Macaca mulatta: one gene and its partners. The main gene of each other region encodes a partner of the protein of the gene in region 3 in a complex. Links are inferred from orthologs where the notes say so. Each region holds a gene or a part of one and is shown on either strand. Other genes may lie near its edges.

Evidence for each region.
Region 1: STX18 (region 3) and VTI1B share a complex: the UniProt entries of both Homo sapiens proteins name them as parts of the SNARE complex. The link is inferred for Macaca mulatta from reciprocal best matches to the Homo sapiens genes STX18 and VTI1B.
Region 2: STX18 (region 3) and BET1L share a complex: the UniProt entries of both Homo sapiens proteins name them as parts of the SNARE complex. The link is inferred for Macaca mulatta from reciprocal best matches to the Homo sapiens genes STX18 and BET1L.

Annotation. Positions count from the first base shown.
Region 1 is NC_133412.1:140,846,892-140,853,937, forward strand, and holds the start of VTI1B (vesicle transport through interaction with t-SNAREs homolog 1B), read right to left. Parts: upstream 4,804-7,046; 5' UTR 4,692-4,803; coding exon 4,577-4,691; intron 1-4,576. UniProt on the Homo sapiens protein: V-SNARE that mediates vesicle transport pathways through interactions with t-SNAREs on the target membrane. These interactions are proposed to mediate aspects of the specificity of vesicle trafficking and to promote fusion of the lipid bilayers.
Region 2 is NC_133419.1:79,257-86,538, reverse strand, and holds BET1L (BET1-like protein), read left to right. Parts: upstream 1-2,479; 5' UTR 2,480-2,564; coding exon 2,565-2,583; intron 2,584-3,829; coding exon 3,830-3,921; intron 3,922-4,204; coding exon 4,205-4,261; intron 4,262-4,403; coding exon 4,404-4,571; 3' UTR 4,572-5,196; downstream 5,197-7,282. Other genes in the region: RIC8A (chaperone Ric-8A), read right to left, coding at 1-486, 575-622, 959-1,042. UniProt on the Homo sapiens protein: Vesicle SNARE required for targeting and fusion of retrograde transport vesicles with the Golgi complex. Required for the integrity of the Golgi complex.
Region 3 is NC_133410.1:8,444,269-8,451,469, reverse strand, and holds the start of STX18 (syntaxin-18), read right to left. Parts: upstream 4,546-7,201; 5' UTR 4,528-4,545; coding exon 4,360-4,527; intron 1-4,359. UniProt on the Homo sapiens protein: Syntaxin that may be involved in targeting and fusion of Golgi-derived retrograde transport vesicles with the ER.

The sequences.
Region 1 (7,046 bases), on a different chromosome or scaffold from region 3:
ATCTTTCTTCCTAATTTCTGCCTCAAAACCACCTCTTGGGCCGGGCACTGTAGCTCACACCTGTAACCCCAGCACTTTAAGACGCTGAGGTGGGTGGATCTTAATTAAGCCCAGGAACTCGACAACAGCCTGGACAACATGGGAGACCCTTACTAAAATTACAAAAAATTAGCCAGGCCTAGGGGCATGCGCCTGCGGCCCCAGCTACCCAGGAGGCTGAGGTGGGAGGATCACTTGAGCTTGGGAAGCCAAGGCTGCAGTGAGCAGTGATGGTGCCACTGCACTCCAGCCTGGATGACAGGAGACAGGAGTGAGACCCTGTGTCAAACAAATTCCTGTGTTACCAAGGCAACTGCCCAAAAGGCTCTTAACACAGTCCCCTATACCCAGATTCTTGAGATCTCTCTCATCCTCTGTCTAGCCATTAATGCCCTCCTTCTAAAAGAAAATCCACATCAATCAACTGCTTTAAGTCCTTTACTGACTTTCCATATCAAGTCCAAACGTCTCAATGTCACACTAAGATCCCCTCACAATCTGGCTGTTTCACCTGCCCCATCTACTACTACTTTCCCATATACATTCTAAGCTCCAGAGTTGGGGGTATTCCATTTTTTAACTCCTGTGTTGCCTCTTTGCATTTCCCCTGTTTAGCAAACTCCCATTTAACCCGTTATATTCAGTTTGAAGTTTTTTGAAGCTTCCCCTCTCTTCCCCATGCTCAAGTCCAGCCTTTTTTATGGTCTCTGAGAACTTTATTTTAGAATTAATCACACACTTTGTTGTAAGTTTGTTTACTTTTTTTTTTTGAGATGGAGTCTCGCTCTGTTGGCTGTAATCTCCACCTCCTGGGTTCAGTTAATTCTCCTGCCTCAGCCTCCTGAGTAGCTGGGACTACAGGCGCATGTCACCACACCTAGCTAATTTTTGTATTTTGAGTAGAGACAAGGTTCCACCATGTTTACCAGGATGGTCTCTATCTCTTGACCTTGTGATGCGCCCGCCTAGGCCTCCCAAAGTGATGGGATTACAGGCATGAGCCACTGTGCCCGGCCGTTTGTTTCTTTTTAAGGTAAGTACTCTGGAAGTCTTCAGGACCCAGACAGTGGCTGATACATAATAATTCTCAGTGTTTATTGAAAAATAATTCAATTACACAGCATAAGCTACATGCAAGGGCTGTATTATGTACATTATGCTGTGCCTAATAATTCATGATGGGCATTAAAGTGCTGAAAACTTTATGATGTGGTCTCTGAACTAGAAAAAGACGGATTCAGAGATGAGGCATCATGTGTTTGCTTAGATAAATTCAATTTATTCAACAAATATTTATTGAGCAGTGTGAACGAGGCAGTGAATAAGAGGTAAAGTTGCTGGACTTCTTATTACAATTCTAGGGATATGTATATACTTTATTTACAACTATGTCTGTTGCCAGCAACTTAGAATATTTTGTGGTTGGGTAGAAATTCACCTATTTCTGCTGAGCACAGTGGCTCACGCCTGTAATCTCAGCACTTTGGGAGGCCGAAGCGGGTGGATCACTTGAGGTCAGGCGTTTGAGACCAGCCTGGCCAACATGGTGAAACCCCATGCCTACTAAAAATACAAAAATTAGCTGGGTGTGGCAGCATGCGCCTGTAATCCCAGCTACTTGGGAGGCTGAGGCATGACAATCGCTTGAACCCAGGAGGTGGAGGTTGCAGTGAGCTGAGATTGTATCACCGCCTGGGTGACAGAGCAAGACTCTGTCTCAAAAAAAAGAAAAAAAAATCACATATTTCCGACTGTCCTCTTTGCAGGATGGAGAAAAAGGCTGGGGAGACAACAAACGTGAATGTAACTATCTTAGCTTTATGTTGCTATAACAGAATAGCTGAGTCTGGGTAATTTATAAAGAAAAGAAATGTATTTCTCAGAGTTCCGGAGGCTGGGAAGCCCAAGGCTGAGGGGCCTGATTCTTTCAAGGGCCTTCTTGCTACCCATGTGTCACCCTATGGCAGAAGGTGGAAGAGCAACAGATCAAGAGAGCAGGCAAGCAGGAGAGGGCTGAACTAACCCACTCTCTCAGCAACCAACCCACTCTCAGGATAACAATCCAATCCCTGAGGATGGAGCCCTCATGGTCTAATCATTTCTTATGGGTCCCACCTCTTAACACGATTAAAATGGCAAATAAATTTCAACATAAGTTTTAGAGGGGACATTCAAACCATAGTAATAATGAATTCAATTTTCTATTTTTCAAGCAATGTTCTTTTGCATTATTTAGCCTTATAGAAATGGGCAATGCAAAAATTAACTCAGTGCCAGGTTGAAAATGCAGTCTACTTTTTTTTTTTTTAGACAGAGTCTTGCTCTGTCATCCAGGTTAGAGTGCAGTGGTGCGATCTTGGCTCACTGCAACCTCCAGCTCCAGGGCGCAAGTGATCCTCCCACTTCAGCCTCCCCAGGAGCTGGGACTACAGGCACGCACCACAATGCCTGGCTAATTTTTGTATTTTTTGTAGAGATGGCGTTTCACCACGTTGCCCAGGCTGTTCTCAAAATCATTCAATACAGCAATACTCCTAACTCAGCTTCCCCAAGTGCTGGGATTACAGGTGTGAGCCACCACGCCTAGCCTGCAGTCTTTTCTTTTCCTTTTTTTTTTTTTTTCTGAGACAGAGTCTTGCTCTGTTGCCCAGACTAGAGTGCAGCGGCAGGATCTCGGCTCACTGCAACCTCTGCCTCCTGGGTTCAAGCAATTCTCCTGCCTCAGCTTCCTGAGTAGCTGGGACTACAGGCAACTGACACCATGCCTGGCTAATTTTTGTATTTTTAGTAGAGATAGGGTTTCACTATGTTGGCCAGGCTGGTCTTGAACTCCTGACCTCAAGTGATCTGCCCGCCTCTGCTTCCCCAAGCACTGGAATTACAGGTGTGAGTCACCGTGCCCTGCCTGCAGTCAACTTTTCAATCACATAAATCAGATCCCACAATGGTTCTGCACAATATATTTTAACTGCATCCCATCATATTTAGAAAAAGGCACAAGTCTTTCACCATGGTCCACAAGGCCCTACATGATCTGGCCCTGCCTACCTCTCTCCTTTGCTCACTTCATCCCAAACACATGGAACTTCCTGCTCTTCGTTGAACACACCAAGCTCATTTCCGCTTAAGGGCATTTGCAGTGCTATTCCCTCCTTCTGACACTCACTTCTCCCAGATTTCTGGTTTACTCCCTCTCTTCATTCAAGTCTCAGTTCAAATGCCATCTCCTCACAGAGGACTTTCACAACCGCCCTATTTAAAACTGAAGTCCCGAGGAAAGCGGATCGCTTGAGGTCAGGAGTTAGAGACCAACCTGGCCAACATGGTGAAACCCCGTCTCTACTAAAAATACAAAAAAAATTAGCCAGGGGTGGTGGCGCAACTGTAATCCCAGTTACTCCAGAGGCTGAGGCAGGAGAATTGCTTCAATCTGGGAAGTGGAGGCTGCAGTGAGCCGAGATCGTACCACTGCACTCCAGACTGGATGACAGAGTAAGACTCTGTCTCAAAAATAATAATAATAATAATAATAATAAAATAAAACTGAAGTCCCATCCCCTATTCCTTTACTCTGATTTATTTTCCTGTATTCTTTAACACTGCCGCTTAATAGTTATATATTGTTTATCACCTACCCACTAGAATGGGGACGTGCATGTCTTTTTCACTGTAATTTGCAATATTCACCAGCACCTAGAACAGTGCCTGGCACACAGCAGCCTCACAATAAATATATATTAAATACATGCATTTCATTCTCACCAGAGTCATTCAATTCCTATGACCTTGAGTAATTCGTTGAGCAAACACTCAAGCTCTGATCCTTAAATAAAAGCAATAAAACAAAGTTTTGTCCTTGCCATCAAGTTCTATATATCCGGAGGCCAAGAACTATATATAGCAGGTCTTCCTATGGATCTAGGGCCAGAAAACTCTAGCTCCTCCAGACAAAACTTGTAGCAACCTGAACCATGAAATGAAGGGGTAGTAAATAGTCTCAGCAGTAAAAACGTTCAAAACAAGACCACATCTAAACGCCACCATACGGTTTTAAAGGCCAGCTCTCTACCCTCCAATAACAGGTATATACCAACGCCCCAAATTATGACTCTTTTGGGTTTTTAACCCTTTTTCTGTGCTACAGATCCTCTGTCAGTCTGGTGAAAACTAGACCTGTCTTGACACTAGTGCTTCTAAATGCATAAAACAAACAAAAACAGCTACGAAAGAAACCCACGCTACATTACAGGACCGCAGATGTAAAAGCCCCTCTGCTCTGTTTGCCGCAGTGGAAAAAAACGAGAAAATGTGGAAGGCCATAGAAGGAACCCAGGGAACTGAACCCCGCGTCCCTGGGCGCGTCCCCAATTCACTCTCAGTGGCAGGGAGACCCGGGGTTGCGACCCAGCCAGCCCTAGGGGGCGTGTCTGAGGACGCGGAGGAAGGAGACGCGGGCCCGGGTCTGGGAGGAAGGTGGGGGAAAATTCCAAAGCGCGCGGGGCCGCGCTCCCCACGGCGTGGCCCACCCGCGCCTCACCGGTCCCAGCAGTCCCCAGCAGCCGCTCGGGCACCCCTTGTAGGTCTTCATGGAGGCCGCGGAAGATCTCGTGCAGCTTCTCGAAATGCTCCGAGGAGGCGGCGGAGGCGGCCATGGCGCAGGACGCGCTCGAGCAGCGGCCACCCAGATTCGGGGCTCTGGGCCCTCTCCTAGCCCGGCGGTCAGCCGCCCAGTCCCGTGGCCATAACGGCGACCGCCGCACCACCGCTGCCCAGGACGAGGCTCTTCCGGGGCCGCAGAAGGGTCCTCCCGAGCCGGAACGCCCACCCTCTCTAGCCCGTGATTGCGGGAGCGCCGGCGCGAAGGCCTGACGGGAAGGCGGCAGACTGCGCGGCCTAGGCGACTCCTGAGGGAGCGAGCGGGGCGAATGGTAGTCGCAGAGCCCGAGAAGTGCCCGGTCCGGGGTGGGGAAAGGCCGCAGAGAAAGGGCCCTAGGGGACCTGCGGGACGGGCAGCTCGGCCGCCTTCCTCCCAGGCCCCGCCGGCCGGCCAGGGGCGGGCGCTGCAGTGCACGCCGGGGGATGTAGTTTGACTCGGAGAGCGTCTGGTGCCGGAGTCGCGCGTTGCCCGGGGTGCCAGGTTTAGCCCGCCAGGCGACAGCGGGCTTCGGCCCGATTTGATGTGTGTTTGCGTCTAGACGTCGTCCTCACTGTCATCGCGCTTTGCTTTGCCACCCTGACCCGAATTCCTCATTTCGCGTCTTGACCGAATGTTAGCTTTAGGCCCTGGAAAGAGCCGGGCCGGGGGCTCTGCCTGCAGTCGGGAGGTGGAGCACTTTTCCTGGAAGGCCCAGCTGCTCCCCAAGCTTTCAGAAGTGGAACTTGGCCGGGCGAGTGGCTCGCGTCTGTAATCCCAGTACTTTGGGAGGCCGAGGTGGGAGGATTGCTTGAACCCAGTAGTTCGAGACCAGCCTGGTCACAATAGCGAGAGCACTACCGGAAACCCAAAATAGGAGCCGGGCAAGGTGGCGCGCACTTCTGGCCCCAGCTACCCCGGAGGCTGAAGCAGGAGGATTACTTGAGTCCACAAGGTTGAGATTGCAGAGTTCCCACCACTGCACTCCAGCTTGGGAGACTTTGCTCCCAAGTGGAGGGTGACCTTGTCTCCAAACAAACCCAAAAAACAAAAATTCAAAAGTGGAACCCAGTTAGGATGACCTCGAAATACTCTAGCTGCTAGGCTGCCTCGTGCACTTGTTCACAACAGGTGTTTGTCAAGCGTAGGCATTGCGAGGGATCTGGGCATGTTGGTGAATAAAACATTTACTCTCTGCTCCGAGGGAATTTATAATCTGGTGTGGAAGGTGGGCCTGGCTTCATTAGGTCTCATCTGCCACTAAGTGTCACTTGTTAACAATTACAAGGTCCTTTCCTGCACTCCATGGGTATAAATGCCGGTCTTCAGGTCGGGCATGGTGGCTCAAGCATCATCCCAGCACTTTGGGAGGCCGACGCGGGCGGATTACTTGAAGTCAGGAGTTCGAGACCAGCCTAGCCAACACGGTGAAACCCCCATCTCTGCTAAAATCACAAAAATTAGCCGAGCGTGGTGGTGGGCGCCTGTAATCCCAGCTACTCGGGAGGCTAAGGCAGGAGAATCACCTGAACCCGGGAGGTAGTGGTTGCAGTGAGCTGAGATCATGCCACTGCACTCCAGCCTGGGTGACAAAGCAAGATCCTATCTCAAAAAAATTAAAATAAATTCTTATTTTCACCGATTTCACGGTTTGCTCAAGGTGTCTGTTCTCAAATGTTTGCTTGGGAGCTCAATTTTAAACTGCCTACAAATATTAAAAGATGTATGAATGCTCAGGAGAAAATGCTTTGCTAATTTATATCTCCTGGGCCCTCATTTTTGTTAGATCAAGTTCATTGGCTGTTGATTCAGCACACTTTGGTTGAGCTCTTAATATGCACTGAGCACAGACGTGACCAAGTCTGAGGTAACTGTCAGTATACTGTGTAAGTCCCACAACACAATGCTGGGACTTGTCACAGTACAGAAATAAGGGGCAGGTGCAAAAAAAAGATTAATAGCCTGGGGCCGGGCGCCATGGCTCACACCTGTACCCCAGCACTTTGGGAGGCCGAGGTGGGACGACTGTTTGAGCTCAGAGTTTGACGCCAGCCTGGGCAACAAAGCAAGACCCTGTCTCTAATAAAAAAGAAAAGAAAAAAGAATGGCCCGGGATGATCAAGAAATGTGGGAAAAGTATCTGTGAAGAGTGTCAAAAAATGTTAAGTAGGAAATGGTGAATGAATAATCAGATTATCACACAACCTAAATTAATAGCATGTGGATTGAGATTGCACTGTAGCTAGACTCTGGGACAAATTATTCTTTAGAATGAGAAATCATTGCATAACCATAATAATGAACAGTGTTTTCTTCTTTTGACTGTAATTAAACTTTTAATTCTTAGTTTTTATTCTGGTAAATGAAAACAAAA
Region 2 (7,282 bases), on a different chromosome or scaffold from region 3:
CCCTTCAGGAGTCACCCCCAGCGTCAGCTCCAGTGTGTCAGTCAGCAGATGCACTCCTTTCAGCTCCTGAAACAGCTGCTGGCGCACATCGGTGCGGAGTGCCGTTAGCAGGAAGAGGAGCCTCAAGTCAAAGAACTGGACATCGTGGGGGAAGCTCCTCTCCCGGTACAGCCCCACACGCTCTGTGAGCTTCACCACTAGGCGGGCCTCTGCTGCCAGCATCTGTGCCACAGGGCTGCTGAGCACGAGGTTGCACAGGCACTTGAGGGACTCCAGTACAACATCCATGTCGGGGGAGTCTGGGACGGACCCCTCAGAGCCAGAGATGTCAGCATAGCAGGCCAGTGCCTGCAGGCTCTGGCGGCTGGTAAACGGGTCCAAGCAGTTGCGGTCCCGGGACAGGATTCGGACACTCTGCAGCCAGGTGACACGGTGGGAGGGTGGCAAGCCCTGTTCCAGGACGGAGACCAGCAGCTCCGCCAGTCTCTGTGGGCAGGGAGACGAGCGGCTCCACCAGGCCCCTCTTCCTGGGGCCACCCGTCCCTGTCCCTTTACCCCTCGGGCCAGCACCCACCTTCCGGTCCTCCTGTTGAGCATCATCAAACGTGAAGCTCTGGGAGTGCTGCAGAGAGAACGAGTGAATTCAAGTCCACAGAGGGGCAGTATCCGCGCCCGCTGACGGGGGGCGGCCTATTGGCCTCTAACTCAGGCAGCAGCCACTGCTCAGAAGGGGTGGCAGGGTCTACACTCGCCCCCATCCCTACACACCTGCCACCCAACGGGTGCACCCCAGACACTCTCCCCCCAACACTGCATCCCTGACGTGCCACCCCCACCCCGCCGCGTCCCCTCTGCTTGCTGACACAACCCCTGCCTCACCCACACCGTCCCGACCACCCGCGCACGACCCTGCCCCACCCCCTCCGTGCCCGCCCCCCGGCCTCAGGCGGCCGCTCACCTCCTGGTTGTATGACCGCAGAGCTTCCATAATCACATCCTCCTTCCCCGTCTCCACGGCTTCTGCAACCGCCCGGGGCTCCATGGCGCCCCCGGAACCCGGCGCGGGGAAGGCGGGACGGGCCCTTCCTCAACCTTTCCGGGCCGCAGTTCGCCGGCCCCGCCCTGGCCCAGAAAGCCCCGCGCCAGCGCGCGGGGGAGGCCGGGACGGGACGCGGCGTCTGGTGGCGCTTCAAGGGGGCGCGGCCTGAGGCAGCACTGGCGGCTCGGAAGACCCGAGTCGGGCCGAGTCGCCCTGAACCGGACTGATCCCCCTCCTTGTGACCGGGGCTTCTTGGGCCGGAATTTCCAACAGGAAAGGATCTCAGCCCCCACCGCGCCCTGCCACACACACAGTGACGCCCCTCGAGCTCCACAGAACCGATGGGATGTAGACGGGAAAGCCGAAGTGGAAAGGACTTTTCAGTCCCGGGCCATTGGGTTCGTTAGGCGTTTGCTGGGGAATGCAGGCGAACGGGACTCCCAGGCCCCTGCCTTTGTGGAGCTTATGTTCCAGAGGGGAAGGCAGACAAGGAAAAACAAAAGGACATGAGGCGGTCACAGGGCTGTGCTTCAAAAGAAGCAAAAGGTGACTGCTGGGCTGCAAGGGCTGTGAGGAAGTGGTGTTTTTGCTAACACTGGACGATGGGAAGCGAGCTGGGAAAAGACTGGAGGAGCCACTCCAGGCAGAAGGAGCAGCACTTGCAAAGGTGGAAGGGCCGTGAGGGGCCGAGAGAAAGGGGAGCAACGCAGTCTGGCCTGGACTCAGTTCCCTCTTGACAAGCAAAGATCCTGCGTGTCCGTTTCAGTGGCCATCAGGAGGATTCAGTGACGCACAGGAAGCGCGGTCCACTGGCTCTTGTAACAAGTGCCCGGGAGCAAAGGCGTCTACGGCCCCCACTCCCCGTGCCGCCTCCCAGTCTCTTTCCCTGCTTCACTTTCCTGTAGCGCTTTCCGCACACCTGTATTCGACGCGGCGCGCACTCGCAGGCACTAGCGAGGCGCCGATCTCCACTTGACAGAGGAGGCACCCTTGCCCCCTCCACACCCAGGGCTCCTCGCGGGCTTCTGCCCGAGGGGCCTACTCCTCCCTCATGACCCGCCTGTGAATCCTTCCTAACCGTTAGGACCTAACGCATGGCAGCGTCTTTCCACCACCATCGTCTTGGCACTGAGCAAGCAAACGGCCCCGCCCCGCCCCACGTTCACAGGAACAACAAACAAACGTCACATCCGCGGTGCTGCTGTAATCCCAGCACCTTGGGAGCCCGGCAGGCGGGGGCTGCAGTGAGCTGAGATCGCGCCACTGCCTGGGCGACAGTGCTGAAAATAAGTCACAGCGACGCCCATCGCTTCCGCGACCCCGCGGTTCCCCACCCTCGGGCCTAAGCCGGAAATCAGCGAGCCCGACGCGGAAGCGGCTGGGCCATCTAGGGGCGTGGTTGGCGCGGAGGCGGGGCCATCGCTGGCGGGGGGCGGGGCCGGAAGCCCGTTCCCCGTGACTGCGCCACGTCTGAGGCGGCTGTGGCCGCGTCGGTGTTGGCGTCGAGGAGCCGGGGCAGGGCACGATGGCGGACTGGGCTCGGGGTGAGCGCGGGAGAGCGGAGCCGTTGGGGGCAGGGCCGGGCCGGAACCGACGCCGCTGCCTGTAGAGCCGCGTGCGCCTGCCTCTGGCCTCGGCGGGGAGGACCCTGTCAGGGGGGCGGATTCGGATCCTTCCGGGTCCCAGCAGGGCCGGGTTTCGGCCAGCACTGCCGCTAGGAAGGACGGCGGGCGGGGCGGCCCAGCAGCTCCAGCGAGGGGTCGCGCAGCTGCGGGGTCCCCCCACTCCCCGCCGCTCCCTGTGAGATCGTTTTGCATGGGTTCAGGGTGAGCGGGAGTCTCGGCATTCGACAGGTCCCGAGGCCAGGCCTTCGGAGTAGGCTGTGCTCCGCTGGTGTCCAGGCAGGCCTCTGCTAACTAACTTGGGCCTCGGTGGCCCCATTTCCCCTCCTGGAGCCCGTGTTCTTCTCTGCAAAGTGGGATATTGATGCCTGTCTGAGTTATGATGAGTAAAGGAATTAATGAACAGGAAGTGGTTGGAAGGACGCTGGCATCCCTTCCTTAACGTTGAAGCTAGGGAGAAGGTGGTTCTCACCCACCTGAGGTGACAGAAATTCCTTATCACCTGGCCCAGCCTGTCACAGGCCGGGCCTCTGCAAGCGCTGTGCTCTGGGTGTTGCAGGAAGCCCTGTGTGGGATGCAGACCAGGGATCACGCTCCTGGTCGACCTCAGCTCCCATCTCGCGGAATTGGGAACTTTGCTCAGCTGTTTTCTGTGCGGTAAAGGGCCTTCCCAATGTTCTGTCCTGGTTCCTTGCCACCTCTTCAGGACCCAGCTCAAAGGTCGTCCCTGCAGGAGCCTTTCTGCTGCCCTGCTGGGTACTTTTCCCAAGTCTTTCCTATGCTCTTAGCAGAGTTTACTCTTTTTCTATAAGAATGGGCTCCACATACACAGATGGCGACCTCCCTGGATGCAAGTGTCACATCTTATTAACATCCCAGAGCTGGGCCCAGTTTTTGCTACACAGTCTCAGAAGGTGCTGGTTGGACTGAACCCACTGTGGGTGCTGGCCCATCCCCACCTGGATGTGTACACAGGACACGTGTTCACATGACAGGCCCTTGCACACATCGTCCTTTATGCAGTCTCTCTCACATGTGCAAGATTCACCTGCTGGAACCTAGGTTAGGTCCCCTAGATTTCTGACTCACCCAGTTGTGGTTGGAGTGAGAGGGGTCAGAGGCCTCGCTCCCCGATGGATGCAATCACTCAGCCCCTCTCTTTTCTCAGCTCAGAGCCCGGGCGCTGTGGAAGAGATTCTAGACCGGGAGAACAAGCGAATGGCCGACAGCCTGGCCTCCAAAGTCACCAGGCTCAAATCGGTCAGTGGTGGTCTGTCCTCTTACCTCCACCTGGTGCCCTTGGGGAATGGGGATCAGAGGGAAGGTAGAGGGCCCAGAGGAGTTTCAGGCAGTTTGCCGTCCTCCTCGTTCGATTCGTGGCTGTGCTCACCTGCATGAGGCCCCAGCTGACACCTGGACCTTCCTGCTGCTGCCCCACTGTGTCTGGCAGAGTTGTTGGCAGGGTTTGTCTGGTCTGGGAAGGGTGAGTGCTGTATTATGTGTCTGCTCTGGCCCAACCCTGCCCTCTCTGTGTGCTGAACAGCTCGCCCTGGACATCGATAGGGATGCAGAGGATCAGAACCGGTACCTGGATGGCATGGTAAGGGCCCACGGTGTGCGCGAATCAGTGCCCTGCCCCCAGCACTACCTGCTACAGAGCTTGCAGTGTCTCCTTCAGCACTGGTGCGGGTGGGTGGTCAAATCACCACTTCTGTGTGATCTTGCCGGGATTCTTCCCTTAGGACTCGGATTTCACAAGCATGACCGGCCTGCTTACAGGGAGTGTGAAGCGCTTTTCCGCAATGGCAAGGTCCGGACGAGACAACCGGAAGCTTCTATGTGGCATGGCTGTGGGTCTGATTGTGGCCTTCTTCATCCTCTCCTACTTCTTGTCGAGGGCAAGGACGTGAGACAGTGGGAGCTGGTGTCTGTGGGTGCCAAGGGCAGCCATTGTCTTCCCTGCCTGGCATCTTGGGCTCCAGAGGACTTACCTGCAAAGTACTCCTTTGAAATTATAATCGTGGGCCAGGAATCCTTTCTGTGTGGCAGGAGGCTGCGGCTGCCTGTGACCTGATGAGCTCATGTTGGCTGGTCCCATGTGTGGAAGGGACTCTTTCGGGGAAACCAAGGCCCAGCCCCTCCCCCCTTCCCCAGATGCTAGAGACACAAGCAGAGCTGGGGCCGCAGCGTGTCTGGAGGAGCCAGGTCTGAGCAGAGCAACTGTTGAATCCCAGGCGTGGCCACCTGTGGCCTGCAGCCTTTCTCCCAGCTCTTGGGACGCTGACATCTGAAGGCTCCACGGTCGTGTCCTTGTCTGGATGAGGCCATGTCTGTGATCCAAGGTTCCTGGAACTGACACAGGAAGGGGCTGTGAACCCTAAGTGGGTGCTATCTCCTCCAACTGAGGCTTCTCAGCCTGGAGATGGCAGTTACTCCTGGCCATGGTTGCTGAGCACAGGAGACCAGTGCGGGCCACCCTGCTGTGAGTTCTCTGTGCCTACTCTCCAGTCCTGCGGATGAAGTGAGACCCCTGGGGAGAACGGGTTGTGGATGAAGGAGTGGACTGCAGCCTTGGCCTAGCCACTGGGTGGGATCCTTCTGGGTCCTGTGACTGTGTATCCAGGAGCAGAAACTTGTATTCTCAGGATTCAGAATCTACCCAGCACCAGAGATGTGTTTTCAGAAGAACAGACCTAGAAATGGGCCTCTCTGGCATTTCAGAGTCAGGCAAAGCAGGCAGGGCCGGGGAGCCATTGTGGGTCTACACAAGAAGGTTCCTGAGAGGCTATCAGTTGTTGCCATCTAGCTTGCTGGTAACTCTGGCGCCTCTGCCAAGCCCTGCCAGACTCCTCTGGCTGTGATGGCGTTCTGTGCCATCCTCCTTGTCCCCAGCCTCTGCAGGATACCCTCCCTACCCACCTCTCCCTGGGCCTTCCCTGTCCACTGGGCTGGGCTCATGTTCAAACAACTAGACTGGCAGGGCAACGGCTTTTCCCCACCCCAAGATGAGGTCCTTGCCCCCTTGGCCTAAAAACACCTTTAAAGCTCTGTGCCCTTCTCTGTGCTGTTCCAATCTTCTGCCTCCCAGTCATTCCCTGGGGACTATGGGATCACTGTCCCGCAACCTGTGTGGCCACACTGTGTGTCCTGTCAATCCAGAACTGCCTCTGAGCTCCAGGCTGACCACAGATGAGCCACAGCCTGGTACCTGCAGCCCCACTTTGCTCACCCTTCCCCTCCCCTCCTTCTTCCTTCCACACAGCAAGCCCACCTTTCTCCATGCACGCTCACCATAGCCCCCTTCCTTGTTACCTGAGCCCTCCTTTGTACCTGGCTGAGGCTGTCAGCCTCCTGGAGGAGTGGGGTCCACCGTCTTCCCCTATGCAGTGCGAGCTCACTTCTCACCCAGCAAGGTGGACTCACTTGCCTCCATGTCTCTGGGGCTTTGCTGTTGCCCTGAAACCTAGCTGGGCTGGTGCTTCCCCCTTCTCGGATGTCCCTTTGCAGGCGCCTGTCGTTCCTCAGGCACCAGTGTGCTTGTCTGCCACGGCGAGCTCGTCAGGGGCTTGTACCCTGGTCTCCAAGCATGGTAGCAGCTGCCTGCGTTGGGTCTCCATCTGGTCACTGCAGGTGCCAACCCTTTATCTCCCATATTTTCCTGGGCCATGGAGGGCTGACCTCCATTTTGGGGAATGTGGTTGAGCTGTGGTAACCAGCTATACCCCAGGTGCCCTTCCCATGGTGGTACCCGCCCACCTTGCTGATGTGAACTAGGAAGTTAGGCTGCATCTCGGACTGGCCTTCGCTGGAGAGGTGCTTTGCTGTCTCGGAGTCTCAGTCACTGTGTTCCCTCCCCACCTGTCTCCATGGCTGTTAGCAGCCCTCCCAGGTAATTTGGGGTCTAGGCTGGACTTCCTTTGTGGTTTGCTTTTCTGCTTCTCACTCTTGTTGTATTTTTTTTTTTTTTTTTTTGAGACGGAGTCTCGCTCTGCCACCCAGGCTGGAGTGCAGTGGCTGGATCTCAGCTCACTGCAAGCTCCGCCTCCCGGGTTCACGCCATTCTCCTGCCTCAGCCTCCCGAGTAGCTGGGACTACAGGCGCCCACCACCTCGCCCGGCTAGTTTTTTGTATTTTTTAGTAGAGACAGGGTTTCACCGTGTCAGCCAGGATGGTCTCGATCTCCTGACCTCGTGATCCGCCTGTCTCGGCCTCCCAAAGTGCTGGGATTACAGGCTTGAGCCACCACGCCCGGCCTCTTGTTGTATTAAGAAGGATTCCATAAAGGGAGAGTGGCAACCCTGCTGCTGCTGTGCCTGACCAGAGTTCTTGAGGGGCCCTGACCCTAACCCTCCAGCTCAGCCCTGTGCACCTGACCCTGTAAATGAGTGGGGTTTGCTGACTATAATCCCTGACACCAGTAAAACCAAAAGGAGTCTTGGGGGCTCAGTATGAGAGCCAGGGTTACACACTCTGCCAAGTAAGGACAAACTGCTAGGCTGTATCCCATAATTTCAGGATGAGAAACGTTAACAATAAAATTTTGTGGTACACATAACCTCATTAAGAACTAATCACGTGGTCTCTGTTGTCCTGATTTCCTTGGGATTTGAGGGAATTTTGT
Region 3 (7,201 bases):
CATAGACCTGACCAATGAAAGAAACATCCCTCTGGCCATAATTAACACTACAAGAGAGAGCTGAGAATCAAGCAGAAACTAGATTTCCTTCCTGGGCTTTACAGATAAGAGCCAGAGAAAGAAGCTCTATGCCTGGATTTTCCAGTTATATGAGCTAAGGCATTTCCACTTTGTTCAGGTTAGTTTACATTAGGTTACTATTAATTGCAATCAAAAGAACTCAGACTCATGTAGGCATCTACATGATGCCTTCTTATTTCATCTAACAACTTTATAAGGTTGCCATTACTCACTCTATTTTAGACATAAGGAAACTGAATTAAGTGGCTTCCCCAAGTTCATATAGCAGATAAGACACATTCAAATCCAAGTCCTCCTGCCCCACGTTCCATTCAGTATTCAGTATTCAGAATTAACTCAAGAAGAAGAAACTCACTGCCATTCAGAAGCCAAAGAAATTCTGGTTTAAAAATTATAGGAGGATGTAGGGGACACGGGGACAGCAGCATTAAACCAGGTCAAAGGACCTGGCTTCTAGTTCTGGCTCTGTCCTATGACCTCAACTGCTATGACTTAGGGCAAGTAATTTCATTTACTTAGATGTTAGTTTTCTTATCTATTGACAAAATGAACTCGAGGTCCTTTTGAGTGAAAAAAAAAACCATACACACAAACAAACCAACATGGGTCTGCTTTAAGCATACAGATTCTACTGTTACCATATGCCAAGTAGATTTCAACTTGAATGGCAAGCCTAATAACAGGTAATGGCTCCTGGGGGACAATGTTGCAAAGAATTCTGAGCTCTAGGGATCCACGAAGTTATGAGCATTGACTTCCATGATCACAAGGAAGAAAAGAAAGTAACAGCTGCCTACCTGCCACACATCTGCCATCACTGAAAGAGTTTCACCTTGGCAAAGAAATGCTACCGTCTTTTACAAATGCAGACAGTACTTCTGCACCATCACTGATTCATCAGTACCTACCCAGGATTTTCACTCATTCCTCATGCATTTAACTTGGCTCCCCTTTATAAGCAAGGAATGAAAGTGCAAGAAAACTAAGTGGTTTGGAAAATATAGCTTGGTGCCACTAAAGAAAATATGTCTAAATGGCCTACATGAGGAGGGGGGAGGTATTTGAGGGGAACAATAATAATTACTCTGGTTTCTTAAAATATATACATATAGACTACGTGAGTAGGGTAACTCACAAGCTACCCTACTTAGCTTGTGAGTTAGGTAGGGTATTATCATGTCCATTTTATAGAAATGGAAAATGAGAGTCAGACTTGCCCAAGTTCACCCATTTCTAAGTAAGAGAAGCCAGATTTGAACCCAAGGCCCAGGTCTCTTTCCAATCCCACCGTCCTCATTAGTCCCACACTTCAAATGAGTTAACTAATCAAATTCCCATTGCAGAGTGACATATTCATTATTATTTGGAGTTGTTCGAATAATATAAGTTCCTCCCCCAGATAATCTGAAAAGTCATTACTCTCCATTTGTAATTTAATGGGTAGACATGCATTTGAGTACATATAAATTTAGCAAAATTGAACATAAAAGTTAAATGTTTAAAAGAATGATGCAGAAGAAATCAGTCTATTGGTGGGAGGTAGGGAAGGAAGATTTAGTTTCAATGCAATTTTATGAAACTTAATATAACCTTTACAACAATTCAGTGAGATGGAAATCTGGCATCAGGCATGTATTAGAGGAATGGAATGGAAGAACAGAAATTGAACCAGATTAAAACGCATCCTAGAAGTAACAGCAAATGCTTCAAGGAAGGCACTTACCAAAAGGCATACTATAACTTACTACATTTCATTAAGTCTGACAACCAGGGCTAAACCTGAATTAGAATATGTGCTTCTGGTATTGACCAGACTTTTCTGTATAAGGAATCCAGGCCAAACAAAATAACAGGCAAACTTTTGACACATCTAATCATAGTGAAAGCACAGGACATCCATCACTAGCTCTTCTAGTTAAAATTCCCACAAAAGAAGATGGGGAGTGGGGAATGGTTGGAAGAACAGGAGATAATACGCAAAGCAATGACAACACAAAATCAAAATTGCTTACAAGAATGTATGTTTCCTCTACGTCAGGGGGACAGTGTCCCTGAACAACACAGCCCATGTACTCACTTAAGGTAATGTGACACCTACTCACATCAATACATAGCAGAATTGGAAGTTTCACTGTCACGCGGTCCAAACCTATGACATATGCACAAAGTTCTTCTCAAACATCTCTGAAAAGCAGTCATCACTCTGTTTAATTACTTCCAGTGACAGGGAACTCAGCACCCTACAGGACTGTTACTGTCCCTGAGGCCCATTAACTCAAAAGTCTAAAACACATTTTCACCACTCAGGGAGCGGTGGAAGTGATCACAGGGCTATCCAAAGGGCTTGCCAACTCAACTGTGCCTCTTGTCTCGACCATTCCCAAATCCCCCCTTTCCCTGAGCAGGACTCAAAATTAGCACAGTGTTCATAAATCAGTGGTTTCAGAGTCAGAAGGGACCCTTACAACGCCAATACTGTGATATTCATACCACGGTTCTACAAAAGGAACCCCAGGAAGTGCTTAGGCCAAACTGGGAGGGAGAGTGTCCTGTTTCTCTTCCTCTCATTTCAGCCTAGGAAGCTTCCACTTTAATTTGTTATATATAGAGGACCAGGGTAGTTTTTTAAAAGGAGGAGGAGAAAAAAAAAGACCATTTACAGGTAAATAAACTGAGGTCTTGACACTTGCTTAATGAAATCATATAGCTAACAGTTGCAGGGTTCAGACAACAACCTGGTCTCCTGGCTCCTTCTCTGGTACTTTCTCTACCATATAACATCTGACGGCCTAGAGGGCAAAATTCAAACTCCGCAGTGATATACAAAGCCCTTTAAGATCTCTCCCGGTCCAATTTTTATGAGAGTCCCACATACCAGTCTCACTCAAATGTTTATTGAACCAACTTATATCAGACTCTTACACACCTCCACATCTTAGCGCATACTATTCTTTTAGCCTGAGATGCCCTTCTGCACTGCAGCCAACTAATCCTCTTTCAAGATTTGTTTTGGGCATCATCACCTCTATAAAGCCTTTTCTGATCCTCAGGTAGAACTGACCACATTCTTCTTTGTGCCCTACATAACACTTGCAAGGCTTTATGGCACTTGTTTTATGTCTATGTCCGTCTACTCCACTACTCCTTTTACATCATATTACTCTAACATGAGGCTGGTCAGAAAGTAGGTGCTTCATAGATGTTCATCAATAGGGAGAGTGTATTCATCTGGTCCAACCCCTTTCTGATGTTTAAGTATCCTCTGCTAACTGTCATTAATGCATGCATGCATACATTCATTCGAAAACATCTGAGTGTCTATGCAGTGCCAAGTGTATGCCAAGCAGAGTAGGATTTACTGTGAAATTAATGAGGTTTTAGCTTCGGGGTCCCTCACTTCCATCTTCCAAAGCTCTGAATCTCTCTTGGTGATTTTTATTTCTTAAAGACGGCAGACATAACTATAAAAACTTTCGGCCCCACAAAACCTAGATCCCTCCTTGGTGTCACGGACACAAAAGGGAACAAGACAAACATCTCTCCCCTCATGGAATTTTCTGTTTAACGGGAAAGACAGCCATTTTGTTCATTCATTCATTCAACAAACATTTACTAAGCAATGCTATGAGTCATGCATTGTGAGATGAAAACAACTGTCCCTGCCCTTAAGGAAAAGGTTCCTGTTCCCAGAGAAATGAAGGGACACCTGCTCTGATCAGGGAACAGAAAGTAGTTGAGATGACTGTAACACCGTGTTTGCGAAAGATGACCCTAAACTCGTCTCAAGAGGAACTGAGCCCTACTTATCGCGGAGACAAAGAGAAGAAAGAGTTCGGATGAATATGGTTTTTAATCTCATCTGGGGATGGGAGGCAGACAAGTAAAGAGCACAGGCAAATACGGTGTGGTCAGTTCTGCAACAGGAAGTGAAGGACAGTGAGGTTTCCCCTGAGTGCAAGTCTGTAGTGACGGCGAACTCATGACCTCACAAAGCCGCCCGTGCACTTTCCAGATAGAGATTTCTGAGGGTCTCCTTCCTCGTCCCCCAACCCCCGCCGCCGCAGGAGAAATCTGTTCCCCAATATGCGTCCCCCTTCCTTAAAATAAGGCTGTTCCTTCCCCAAAAAGCTGTCCGGTCTCTGAGGCCAACTCTCCTGTCCCCCTTGGGGCCACCTCCTTCACACAATGCTTATGGGACGGGGTGTGGTTTGGGGCTCGGGGTCCCTGTCGCAGGACTGCCCCCTCCTCAACCCGCCGTTTCCATAGCAACCAGCTCACCACTTCGCGGGCCCGGCTGGAGAAGTCGCCCTTGGGCCGGGGGCTCCGGCGGAACAGCTCATCCCGGCTTCCATCGACCCCGCCGCCCACCGCCACTCCCAGCGCCTTGTTCCGCGTCTTCACGGTCTTGACGCTGGCCCGGAATAGCAGCGTGATGTCCACGGCCATAGCGACCCGTACCCGCAGCCCCACACTGGGCCGGCTCACGTAAGCAGCCGGCGACCGCGGCGAGAACCCGGCCGCTGGAGGACTGGTCCTGCCCCGCACTCCTCCCCACCGGCAACTGCGATGCGAGAAGAAAGGTTCCGGCCTGAGCCCCGCTACCGCGGCGGGAGGAAAAAGATTCCGAACTCAGCGGCGCACCTGGCGGAGGAGGAACCCCGCGACGAGCTCACGGGCACCTCTTTCTCCCGGCAAAGCTTGGAGGGTTTAGCAGCGCGGAGAGCTCAGCGAGCTCTCCTGTGCTTTTTTGGGGCGTGTGGGCTCCGGGAGCGTGAGGACCGGGAAGCTGGGAGGCTCCTTCCCTTCTGGTGGCTCCCTCACTGAGAGCGGGCGGTTTGGTTGCGGGGGACGTGGAGGCGAGCCACCCTTGACCTTTGACTGCAAGGACTCACCTTGAGCAGGACAGAGGCACTTGGACGGTGACCCTCGGGGTGCAATAAGTGCTGAGACAGAGCAGATGTGCAAGGCATAGAGCTAGAGGCCAGAGGTCTTTCTTCTCCACCCTTCAGTCACCTCTTTGTAAAGTGAAGCCAGCATCCTCCTCGGAGTTTACTGTGAAAATTAAGTGAGCTGACGCGTGCTGTGTTTTGATGTTGCTTGGCTCCTAGTAAGTGGCCAATAAATGGTAGTAATCGTTAATAATATTATTATAATCACTCGTATTTGTGGTGATGGAAGAGGCTGTAGAGAAAAGGCGTCACCTGTGCAGAGATTTGAAGGATGAATAGGAACTTTAGATGGAGGCAAAGGTGAAAGAGTGGCCCTAATGTCGCTGGATTCTGTTCTTCCTTCATGCATAGTTTTTAATTGTACCGTCTTGAGCCATAGCTATTAAAATTGACAAGTCAGTCAATGAGTTTCTTCTGCATTTTTGGTTCATGGTTCTGTTTTGTGTTGTTTTTTGAGATGGGGGTCTGCTATGTTGCCCAGGCTGGATTGCAGTGGCTATTCAGAGGCGCCATCCTAGCTCATTACAGACTGGAACGCCAGGGCACAAACGATCCTCCGCGGCTCCGCCTCCTGAGTAGCTGGAACTGTAGGCACTTGCCACCATGGCTGGCCTAAGGATATTCAAAATCTCATTGATTTCTTCAAGATTTTTTTTTCCATAAAGAGGATGCACAAGTAGAATGTGTATTAAAATAGTGGTTTTAATGGTCAATATAAAAGTATTTTCATAATACTAAGATGTTATTTGCCTTTTCACTCTCACTTTCTCATGAGTTGCATACAGTTGAGTTTGCTAGACTGTGATATTGCAACGGAATAAATGCAGAACAGCTGTTTTCTATTAAGCCAGACTTCAAAAAAAAGATTTTCAAAAACATCAAAAGTTTTTAATTTCTCATATAGTGAATGTCGATAATGTCAATATAAACAAAAATTGTTTAGAGCCCTTAATAATTTTTAAGTGTGCAAAAGAGTTGAGACCAAAAGTTTGAGAACACTGTGTTAAAGAAATAAAGTTTATCAGAAATAGATGTCAAGAAAGTGTATATTTACCAGAAAGGAGGAAGGAAAAGTTTTTTTTTTTTTTTTTAGACGAAGTCTTACTGTGTCCCCCAGGCTGGGGTGCAGTGGCACGATCTCGGCTCACTGCAAGCTCCGCCTCCCGGGTTCACCATTCTTCTGCCTCAGCCTTCCCAGTAGCTGGGACTACAGGCGCCCGCCACCACGCCCAGCTATTTTTTTTGTATTTTTAGTAGAGATGGAGTTTCACCGTGTTAGCCAGGATGGTCTCCATCTGCTGACCTTGTGATCCTCCCGCCTCTGCCTCCCAAAGTGCTGGGATTACAGGCGTGAGCCACCTCACCTAGCCAGGAAAAGATTATTTAAACCCAAACTGTAGCCACTTCTTGCAGTTTAAGGAAAATGAATTTCCATACAGCTTTCTTCCACCTACTGCGGAAAAGAGAAAGAAATTACAAAACCTCTGCCAATGATTCTATCTTGCATAAATGGCCCTTTGTTTAATCCAGACATTAATCAGTTTTTGGCTATGCAAAGTTAAGCTTGGGGCAGAGTAGAAGGAAAGAGAGATTGCCCTGCATAGTAAAGTGAGGGGGATTGAATTGAGGGGAGAAAAAGAGAAGCCAGAACCCAGGGAGGGGGCCAGGAAAGTACAAAGTAGGTAACTGGGAAGGATCTTTGAGTGGGAGGGAGGCTGAACTACATCAAGCCTTCAGTGAGTGGTGCCTTGTGTGAACAGCGTGTTTGTTGCAGTTGGATATTTTGGGTAGAAGGGTAGGGACAAAAATCTAAGTTTTCTGTCTGGATTTGCAAGAGCAGAGAAGATTGTGGTGGATATAAGACCCAAGTTGAGCTCAAAACATCAGGTTGTAAATCCACAAGTGACCAGAGGGCATAAAATTCCTAGATAAGTCACAAAGATCTTGAGGTGGCTGCTGAACTTTCCACAGACCGTGGGATATGGGGTTGTGCTTTTTAAATTTTGTGTTTATTCTTTAATTTCAAAGAGCAAAATGACTTCAGTTGACAGTTGACTAATAACTATATTAAGCCCCATAAAGCTGAGAGGGGATGTGGATTAAAAGGATGAGCAGAAATATAAGAGTATACTACTGCATCTCCAGGGTTCAAATGATCCTCCCGGCTCAGC